Kluyveromyces lactis: one gene and its partners. The main gene of each other region encodes a partner of the protein of the gene in region 3 in a complex. Links are inferred from orthologs where the notes say so. Each region holds a gene or a part of one and is shown on either strand. Other genes may lie near its edges. The genes, in order: NUP57, ASM4 and NUP120.

What was found.
Region 1: NUP120 (region 3) and NUP57 share a complex: the UniProt entries of both Saccharomyces cerevisiae proteins name them as parts of the nuclear pore complex. The link is inferred for Kluyveromyces lactis from reciprocal best matches to the Saccharomyces cerevisiae genes NUP120 and NUP57.
Region 2: NUP120 (region 3) and ASM4 share a complex: the UniProt entries of both Saccharomyces cerevisiae proteins name them as parts of the nuclear pore complex. The link is inferred for Kluyveromyces lactis from reciprocal best matches to the Saccharomyces cerevisiae genes NUP120 and ASM4.

The regions. Positions count from the first base shown.
Region 1 is NC_006038.1:975,751-979,513, reverse strand, and holds NUP57 (FG-nucleoporin NUP57), read right to left. Parts: upstream 2,258-3,763; coding exon 542-2,257; downstream 1-541. Other genes in the region: MSS18 (Mss18p), read left to right, coding at 1-360; Golgi transport complex subunit COG2, read right to left, coding at 2,549-3,262. UniProt on the Saccharomyces cerevisiae protein: Functions as a component of the nuclear pore complex (NPC).
Region 2 is NC_006042.1:687,740-690,744, forward strand, and holds ASM4 (FG-nucleoporin ASM4), read right to left. Parts: upstream 1,788-3,005; coding exon 543-1,787; downstream 1-542. Other genes in the region: NUR1 (Nur1p), read left to right, coding at 1-433; LUC7 (Luc7p), read right to left, coding at 2,047-2,817. UniProt on the Saccharomyces cerevisiae protein: Functions as a component of the nuclear pore complex (NPC).
Region 3 is NC_006039.1:1,080,626-1,084,388, reverse strand, and holds the start of NUP120 (Nup120p), read right to left. Parts: upstream 2,402-3,763; coding exon 1-2,401. Other genes in the region: FAR8 (Far8p), read right to left, coding at 2,786-3,763. UniProt on the Saccharomyces cerevisiae protein: Functions as a component of the nuclear pore complex (NPC).

The DNA of each region.
Region 1 (3,763 bases), on a different chromosome or scaffold from region 3:
TTGTTGAGTATACCCAATGAGCCATTTGTATTTTTGAATAATCCGGTAAAGTACTACCGAACGTTATCTGGCAAAGTTAAAGACATCCACAGGCGCGACTTATTCAAGTGGTTATTTTTGGAGGATACAGAGAGATTTAAAACTCCTGAAGGCAATTTTACGGGGGAACTTTCCTATAGTAAAAGGTTTATTGAATTTCCATCGAATAAACCTACAATTCAAATTATCCCATGTTTATTCCAAAATCTTACGGAGCTACCAAACGAAATGAATCATTGGCTTAGATTACCTGATAAAGAGTTCAAGGAGTCTACAAAAAGTAGGATATCAACCCTTTTCCATGGATTTTCAGGCCTATAAATCAAAGTGTCATGTCTTGACATAATGCACGGTAAGTAAGTTCTTTCTCTTAGAATAAAGTACACAAGTTTATAAACATTTGTCAGCAAGACAAAATTATTGAGGAAACTGCTCTCTTTTCATGCATTTGAATTGTTCGAGATTAATAACATTTCTTGAATCAGAAATGTGGTGATGATGTTCACTTATTTAGCTTTGTGTGAACTTCGTCGACAAGTTTCTGATCCTTTTCTATAACATCATTTAAGAAACATAAACCACGTTGTTGATTACTTAAAATTTCGGCTATCTTGTTCACCCGGTCTTCTAGTTCCTCGTCTTGATTATTTTTCTTACCGTTCGAGTTGCCGCCGTTTTCGCTAATCACAACAAGAGTGCTATCGAGTTGCTCGCTTATATTTTTGGCTCTTTCTTTCAATACAGAGAGTCTTGCCCAAAGTTCGTTGTTTTTCCCTAGACCTGCTGGATCATTGCTCTCTTGTAATAGTTTATTAAACTTGTTCATCATCTCCTCTTCGTGTAGGCTCAATGGTAAATTCTTGCTTTTCAATATGGCTAGCTGAGAAGCCAATTTGAGAATTCTATTTTCAATGACGGTGTTACGGGAAACAGCTTTTGCTATCCTTGACTGAGTATCTAAATCATGCTTAGTGTTAACTTGATTTAGCTTTTCCAAAATTTGGCCCAAAAGAACTCTAGCCTGTGCAACATGCTGCTTTTGTAATTGATTACGATCATTGAGATCCTGAAAACCTAGTAGTCTAATTGGAATAGTATTATTACCAGGTTTACTCATGAGCGCTTGATCCCAATCATCCTGCGAGATTGATAATGGTTTATTATACAACATAGCTTCAGTTTCCGTACATTTATTGTAAACAAACGTCTTAAGTTTTGATCTTTGCTCACTTGGCACCCATGATTCCTTACACTTTAGAATTTGTTCTTGGATTTGTTGCGGATAATTAGATATTTGTTGCTGTTGCTGTTGTTGCTGAATTTGTAGCTGTTGTTGTGGTTGCTGAACCGACGGCAACTGTTGCTGGGGCTGTACTTGTTGTTGTGTGTTAGACCATGCAAATGACGGTTGCATTGTAGTAGATGGCGTTGAACCAAACAAGGATGCCCCCCCTGGTTGTTGACCTTGCTGGCCCTGTTGTTGCTGTTGCTGCTGTGATTGTGTTTGATTTTGGCCAAAGAGAGATGTAGTAGCTGGCGCAACAGGCTTGGATCCAAATAGTCCTCCAGTAGTGCCGCTATTAGAAGTGTTATTGCCAAAAAGTCCGCCTGTGGATTGGCCCCCAGTTCTGTTTCCACCGAAAAGACCTCCAGAAGTAGCGCTGGTATTTGTATTTCCGGAATTACCAAACAGTCCACCCGAACTTCCTGTGTTCGCATTATTATTACCAAACAATCCACCTCCAGTGGGATTTCCTTGGATACCAGTGGTGGACTGCTGTGTGTTATTAAACAATCCACCTGCCGGTTTGGACCCAAACAAACCTCCACTGGTTGGGGCAGTATTATTCTGCTGTATTCCTGTAGAGTTTGCATTGCCGAACAACCCAGTATTGGTATTATTCTGCTGATTGGATTGGCCGAACAACCCGCCTGTTCCTCCCGCGGCAGAGTTCGTGTTGCCAAACAAACCCCCAGTAGAAGGTTTCTGCTGTTGCTGTGTACTTCCGAACAGACCTCCTCCAGTGTTTGATGTATTACCTATCGAGTTGTTATTCTGTCCGAACAAGCTACCAGCACCACCAGGCTGCTGCTGTGGCTGTTGTTGTTGTTGTTGACCGCCAAACTGGAACCCTGTGTTTCCAGCAGCAGGTTTGTTACCAAATAAACCGCCGCCATTGTTCATTGAACTATTTCCCGAATTCACTGCACCAAACATGGCTAATTGATGACAGAAAATTGAACCTTATCGATATTCACAGTGTTCTGTTAGTACGCTGGCCCTGCTATATTGTCAGTTCGTTCTTATAGATTTAATGTTAGTTGTGATGTTTGTTGATGCTTTTGTTGTGAAGAACTGAAAAATTCAAGATCGTTCATTATGATGAGATGAGGCTCAAAGTCAGAGATGTTATACACATTTACGTAAGGATACTCATAGCGTAGACTCGCTTCCACCTAGGGGGTGGAATCTCACTTTATTTGAATTGGGTTCGCATTTATCATATATTTAAGTTTTTATGGTTTGAGTTTGCTGGTTCTGCTTCTCGAGAACGGGTTTAATTAAAGGCTTTGCGGTCTCGAGAATACTTTTAAAGTCGTTTCTCATTCGAGTAATTAGGGTGGAATCATTGTCTTCCAAATGTCTAAATCTGTAGTCACAACGTATTAGTATAGTAGAGAGCTGCTTTGCCACTGTGAAGGAAAGCTCGTCGTCGATATTCAGCTGCACCATAGACTGTAAGGATGATACAAGTTGCTGGCATATCTTTAGCGATTCTGATAGCTTTGTGATATCGTCCAGTTTACCAAATAGGTTATCAAGCGATTTTAGGTAGGATAATGCTGTTACTGTTTTTTCTCTAGTTTCAGCCACTGAGGAATCACAAAGTTGGAGTAATTGCTTGTTGAACTGTTGTAGATCATTCAAGACTTGTTTTAACTTATTCAACACCTCGTTATTGTCACTAGTATTAAACCTGTCACATATTTCCATGTACTCGGGATAATTGTCATTGATTTCATCCAGTATAGTTTGTTCCATTGATTGCTTCAAGGCAGATACTTCATATGAGAGTTCGTCTAACGATACGTATTGGAAGTTATTCTCAAGTAATAGCTTATCTATATCTAAGCAGCCATTCTTCCGTACAAAATTGGAAACTAACTCTCTGCTTAGTTCTTTAGTTACTGGTAGATCCAAATCATCATTTAGGTCGGTCATCGCTGGGTGAGAGTAGTTTCACACAGTACTTTCCCTCTCTTTTCGCTCTTGTTCCGTTTTTCTGGTAATGATCGTTCGAATATAAGGATCGATTCGTACCTTTAAATATCTTGAACGCTGAATAGAATTGATAGTTAGAAAAATACATGTATATAACAAGGGCAAAGACCGATACATGTGTTTGAATGGGTAGTTTTCGGAACACACTTACTAAACTGATGGTGCAATACAGATGAATAAGGGTGATATGATTACTGCGCATCACGTGACTAATTTTCCTTAAGATAAGTAAATCTATAATCAAGAATGTTTAGATACTTTTGGTCCAATACCTCATCCTTACCTTGTGGCAATTGCATGCACTGCACTGTCACTACTATAACAGTGTCAACTAATACTTGATGGTGCTAGTTCTGTGTTTCATTTCTGTCTTCTTAGCTAACGTGTATTTTTAACAGAAAAAACGCGTCTTGGTGATTTAACAAGTAGAAGATGAGACAC
Region 2 (3,005 bases), on a different chromosome or scaffold from region 3:
ATCGTATCCTAGCAGACAGCATAGTCCGCGTTTGAGCCCTTCTCGCTATTCTCATCTTCAAAGTGGTAATACACCTTCCGCTCCCTCCACGCCACTTCTAATACCATCTCAACAACCTCATTTCGATCATTCCATGTTGGCCAATGCATCTAGAAATCATAATATAAGTGAGAGAAGAAACTCTCATAGTCCTATTAAACAACACTTTGCAAATAGGTTACTAAACTATCCGGATGAAACAAATGATAGCATACCCGATGTGTCTGATGACAGATTCAGAATGGATGATCGTTTCAGAAGAGGCAGACAAGGCTATTTCAATCGATCTCCCGACATCAATTCTGGTACGTTACATTACGATGATGGTGATGATGATGATAACCGTATATCAAAGTCTCCCTTTCGGAATTCATCGTCTTCACCATTTCGGTAGTTATTCACTCAAATACTCACATTCATTGAAGTTTGGTGCACTGGAATTTCTTGAGGTATCCGTAAATTATATAAACATAATACATCTCTAATTACTAAAGACAATGAGACTATAGGTCGTTCCACCCGAATAACCAATTGTTGACCCTTCCAATTAAATTTGTTGGTTGTTGGTTATTCCCATGCTGTTCCTGTTCTCGTAACTTGTTCTCCAAATTTCTTAAAAAGTTTGGACCACCATGAGGAGGGTTTGCATTATGCACAAACAACTGCTTTCCATCTTTGACATCCAATTTCCGAGTAGAAAAGGTGAACCCATGTTTATTATTATCAGCACTTTCTTGTGTCCCATTTTGTATATCAGATGATTCAGGTCCGTTTGGTTTCATCGATAAACTGAACGGGATTTCTCCGATGTCATCAGTTTTATCGATTTTGCACGAAGCCAATTGTTCTACGGCTGTTTTGCTATAAGGAACGCAGCCAATTAAACAACCTCCATAAACGGTACCATTCTCTTGTAGAGCTCTCAGAGCGGCACTAGGGGAGTCATACGTGATTTTAATCCATCCATCGCCCGTGAAGATAGGATATTTCTTATGAGGAATTTTAGAGTCCTTATTTTGAGCACGAATTCTAATAGTAGCACTGGATATGTTGTTACCTGTAACACCTCTTAGAACCTCAAGGTCCTCTAAAATATTTCCGAATTTTGAGAAATGTAATATTATTTGGTTTGAAATGGATTCTGGATATCCAAATACAATTACTGCGCTCTCTTGCGATTTTTGTCTTGATATATCATTTGTTTGATCCGCTGTCGGTTTTACAGGGGATTTCGACGCATCTCTGTCGAATGCGTTTCTTGTGCTCTTAGTGTATTCTTGAGTCAAAGGTATTTGGTTAGACGAAGGCATTGCGTTCACGTTAGTGGGGACAGACCCGAACTCATCCTCTCGTTGCCAATCATATAACGATTTTGTTGGGGGAGCTTCATTCGATTCCACATAAGTCGCGATATCAGTAGGTTGTGCAGGCTGCGTAGAGCTGAATGTTGGCTTCTTTGTGCCAAACTGGACGCTATTGAATCCGGATCTTTGGGAAGAGTTGTCATTCGAAGATCCATCTCCAGATGAGCTCGGTTTAGACGATCTTTTTATCACGGATTGTGGAATGTTTCTCTTTCTAGCTATATTATACCAGTTTTCTTCCTTTCCATTCGTGGCAGAGCTCTGTACTAGTGATTGTGAACTATTCTGCTGTTGTTGGTTTTGCTGCTGCTGCTGAGGATAATTTATTTGCAAGTTTGCAAACCTGTTCTCTTGTTGCGCTTGTTGGCCAAATACTGAACTCATGATTTAGGATTGTCAGTTCGCTTTCTCAACAATGTTTCAACAGTCAAAAATGATCAATTTATCCTACTTGAAATTGAAGAACACACCAAACCACAGTGTTACCGGTGCATATGAACATGCTACGATGATAACAGCTATTCTCATCTAATCTTATTCTTGATGTTTATTAGTTGAAATTGTTTTATTTCAATTAGAATACTCAAATCCGGGTAATGTTTGCCATTATGAACAGCTTCAGTGTATGTGTAAATTTATACATTCACGATCGATAAGATTTACCTCTATATACTGCTTTTTGATGTCTCCTTGTTTGCGGGAGATATGTGTGAAGATCTGTCCCTTGTTCGTGCAATCTCTTTTTTACCATGTCAAGTTCTTTACGCATAGTTACGTATCCTAGATGGAGTTTGCCCATGAAATGGTCAGCGAGTCTTCTATCCGTGTCTAATCTTGAAAGGTAGGCTCCACATACACGGCATACCTGTAGCTTCTGTTGTGCACTTTGGCCTGTGTTTTCGTTCATTTGCCTGCATTTTTCGCTGAGTGTGTCCCTTTCTGTTTGCAGTTTGTTATATTTACAGCTTTGAATCATCGCCTTCATAACTTCTTCGTTTTGTATAAGCATATCGATTTCTGAAAGCATTAAAGCACATTTGGATTCAAGCTGATTCACTGCTTGTAGAAGTGCTGCTAATTTCGAATGTTCCTCATGATGCTGTAACTTTTTATGTGCCATTTCAATTTGAACATCACAATCACTAAGAATCTTCTTCAAGATGGAGTAATGCTCAAGGTCAAACTCAGGATATTTCTTGCCCTTCTTTACATCTCTTTCATATTGCATTTTATGCGAGACTGAATGTATACGTGGACAATGCCCCATGGGCTGCTTGGTCTCTTGGAAAAGGTCATAGGGGCAATGACCAATGATAAATGATTTGCACGTTGATGGTGAAGTTAGCCCATGCGATGTGGCAGCCGAAGACATAAGCTGAGAAATCAGCTTGCGCTGTTCTAAAATTGCAGACATTTCTCACTTACAAATATCTCTGATGGAAGTAACACCAAACTGTTGCGTGCAGTTTGGACTCTGTGATTAACTTTTTCTGCTCTGTTGGTCAGTTCAACAATGATACTTCTTCAGTACGCCTTTTCAAGTAGCTTGTTGAAAATGCCAGGTTTAAATTCTGACGACAAAATATACTGAAAATAAATATA
Region 3 (3,763 bases):
TATCTTTTGTATTGATCGCATGAAGGAGATTGTACCAAACGTGATTTTCAGTAACCTCCAGATATTTAGGTAGTGAGAGCTCATCAGAGAAGTCATTTGCCAAGAATATTTCAATAGATGCATCATATTCATTGCATTTGAACAAAGAAAGAGCATATAGTAGTTCTTCTACTGGATCCTTGGACACATGGTAAGGCTTAGCAACAAAGTGTAGGAATTGCTTTGCACAAGTCAAATCTTCGCCGTTCAATATGAAATCGGAAAAGGCTCTTGTAAATATTGGAGGTTCAGCTGTTGGAGAATTCTTGACAAAACCAACCATTAATGTAGTAAAGTCGGTTATATCGCTGTAAGATTTCAATTGTGCACCATAATTGTATTTAGTAACATGACCGAAGGTCTCAGAAATTGCCAATAATTTATCTATTTGATACACTTGGAGCCACAATGAGATATTGAAGTGCAAGGTAATTAACTTAGACAACTTCTCTGCAAAAACTTCATAGTTGATATCCACAATAGTGAATACTAACAATATATCAATGATAAACTTATCCATAATGGAGAGTGTCTGCTTCAAGGATTCCATAGACAAAACAGATAAGAAAATGTCAGTATCTAATAAATCAATAACTGAAAAAGCACCTACTTTCAAATCACAGTGTATAAATTCGGATAAAACCTCCACCACATCAATAGAATTTAGATTTTCCAACAATTTTGATAAATTAGCACTTTGGAAACCATTTGTTAGACAATCTTGAAAGACAATGGTAATTTTATTTTTCAATGATAACGAGGGATTTATTGAACCATTTACCATGTCTAAGAACTTCTCAGATATCTTATTTAACGTTTCAGATGTAATGGTTGTTGAAAAACCATGCAGGATATTTAAGAAAAGCTCTAGTTGAGACGAGGGTTCCTTTCTCTCAAAAATGTTAAAGAAAATTGTTTCAAGTTGTGAGTCTAACTTATACGTGGAATGATGATACATGTGTAAGCTGTTAACAACAATTATCTCATCATCAAGAATAGTTAGAGTTGAAGGCTCCTGATATTGTTTATGAAGTTCTTTCAAAAGAGCTTCTAGATTATTCAAATAATCTTGATTATGAGGATCATTTATCTGCACCATGACATTATTTTTATTCAGTATCTTTTGTGCGTCATCGTACGTTGATTGTGAGTAGTGTGACTTGAGATTGAGGAGAGCCTTTTCCATATTTCCGTTTGTTATTAGGTCTGAGTCATCAAGCAAATCAGAGAGGTATGTGCTGTTACCATCAATCCATTTGTAGCTACTATACAGAGAGTCTTCGAAGGAGAGTAGTTGTAGCTTGGTCACTGTGTTACTTTTCCATAATAAAACCAAGTTGAGTCCCGATTGTTTGACAATTGAGGATTTTACTAATTGAATGTCAATTAAAGACCATATTGAATAAGATGAAAGATTGAGAGGTATATTAACGTTTAATGGTTTGAAGGAGATTCTTGAAGAATGCGTATTTTCTAATTGAATGACTTGGAACGATCCATTACCTGCAGGTAGGTATACAAACAGGAGAGATCCACAAATTATCATGTATTTTCCGGCAGCTCCATAATTCACCTGCTGGTTTTTCTCTTTTAGATCGAAATGCGCATTTAGTTGATATGTGGTTAAATCCCAGATTTTAATGGTTGCATCATTCGTTAATGTGACAAGATACTTGTCATTCAAAAGTTCTGCAGATACCACTGCAGAGTTGTGGTTATCGTACTTTGAAAACATTCTTGTAAAACTTTGAAAGTATGAACTATCATTGAATAGGACAGGTTGCAATTCAAAATCGTTTAATATTTCGAGCGGAATACGTTTTAACCCCAAAAGACCACCATCTTTTAGAAATACTACACTGAAGGTGTTATCAACATGAAATAGACACTGTGGAGGACGTACTGAGAAATCATACGGGTTTAAAACCTTCAACCAATTCTCAGGATACTCATTTTGACGAGTTCTCGATAGAATAAAATCGATAGGCAATGAAAGGTTGATGAAAATTCCATCCTTTAAAATCACATCAAAACATAGGTTGGAGGTCGTTTCACTAGATTCGTATACGACTGCAGTAAACCATTTGTTCAGAAGAGGTTTTGGAAAGTGGATATATATGGTTTTCCTTGCAAAAGTTTCCTTCATGGAGTAAATACTCAAAACAGTGTAATTATTACACCATTGGAAGGACAACGATTCATCAATTAATTTTAGTTGCAACAGTTTGCTGTACTCTACGGAAGTTATTTCTTCTGTAGATGATCCAACATTCCCATTGACGTATAAATGTTGGGCATTGTCTGATGAGTGCTTCGATTTTAATTGTAGTAAATTTGTATTCAGACGAGAAAAGCTGGTCATTTTTCGCAGTTTCAGCTTTACCTCTCAGCTGTTCAATAGTAATGTTGTAGGTTTATGTTCCGATTTAGCCTGTAATTGAAGTTCTCTGGTGGCTGTTCTCTTCTGTTTACCGATTCCACTTCATGTCAGATTGATTTCAACATGTCTTTTCTCATTGTTGTTGTAACCATGAAAACAATATTATCCGGGTAACTTATAACTGAATTTTAAGGTCGCTTGGGCAATAATTTCCATGTTGTGAGGAGGATTATATAGGTACTCTGGGGATACCATGTCTATAGACGATGACGTTCGTCTTGTACTGTTTTACATGAGCATTATAGATTATTTTCCTATATTTCTCTTTGAATTATAGCGGCAGCTTTGATTACTATAGCATTGCGTTCATAAGCTCATAATTTTTTCTAGTCGTATCACACCGTTATAGCCACCAGAAACGATTACAGGGGTATCATCTATGACTGTGGATGCAATGGCAATTGGTTGCACTTCAGCGGGAACCTTCTCAGGGTGTTCATAATGATTGTATTTTCTAATTACTTTACCATCTTCTTTGATTGACTTCACGAGTATTGAACCATCCTTCAAAGCGGTGACAGTGTACTCCAAATCATTGAGGAAAATCGAGGAAATAGCAGATTCTGCGGTAGAAGACACTAAAATGGTCTTCTTCTGATCGAAAGAGTAAATCAGAGTTTCTGTATCGAATCTCACAAGCAATTTTGATGTCGACCTGTTCAATGCTAATTCATTATTTGTGTGATGGAATTGGGTCAGCGAATGAGAAAGATCGATTTGTTGTAAAAGGGAGCCTTGAAAGTCGAAGATAGAAATCTTTACGTTTTGTTTTGAACTACCATTTAATATTATAAGCGATTTTTCCGTTAATCCCAACAAACAATTGAGAATCTTATTGGGGACTGAAATGACGAATTCATTAACCTTAACGATACTGGAGTCATCGATTTTAATTTCCCAGACCCGTATCTCGTTAACGAAAGTCAAAATTAGCCATTTATTTTTGAAATCTACAGATTGTAAGCCTTCTAAATCCTTGAGGCCATCCCAAGATATGACAGGGTCGCTCTGGCTTACGTTCCACAACTTGACGGAAGTTTCATCCACAGTCATAAACCTTGTTTTATTCAACCAAAAAATACCCAAGAGGTTAGGCACACAGTGAAACGCCTTGGTTGCCTTTTCATTAGAGTTCAAACTAGGTTCAATGAGCCAGTGCTTTAGTAAACCATCTGAGCCAAAAGATAGCATGTTGTTTCCGAGAAGCTTCAATTTGCTAATTGAAGATAAATGATACTGTAAGAAACGATAAGTATGGAATTTGAGCATCTCATTGGATTGTGT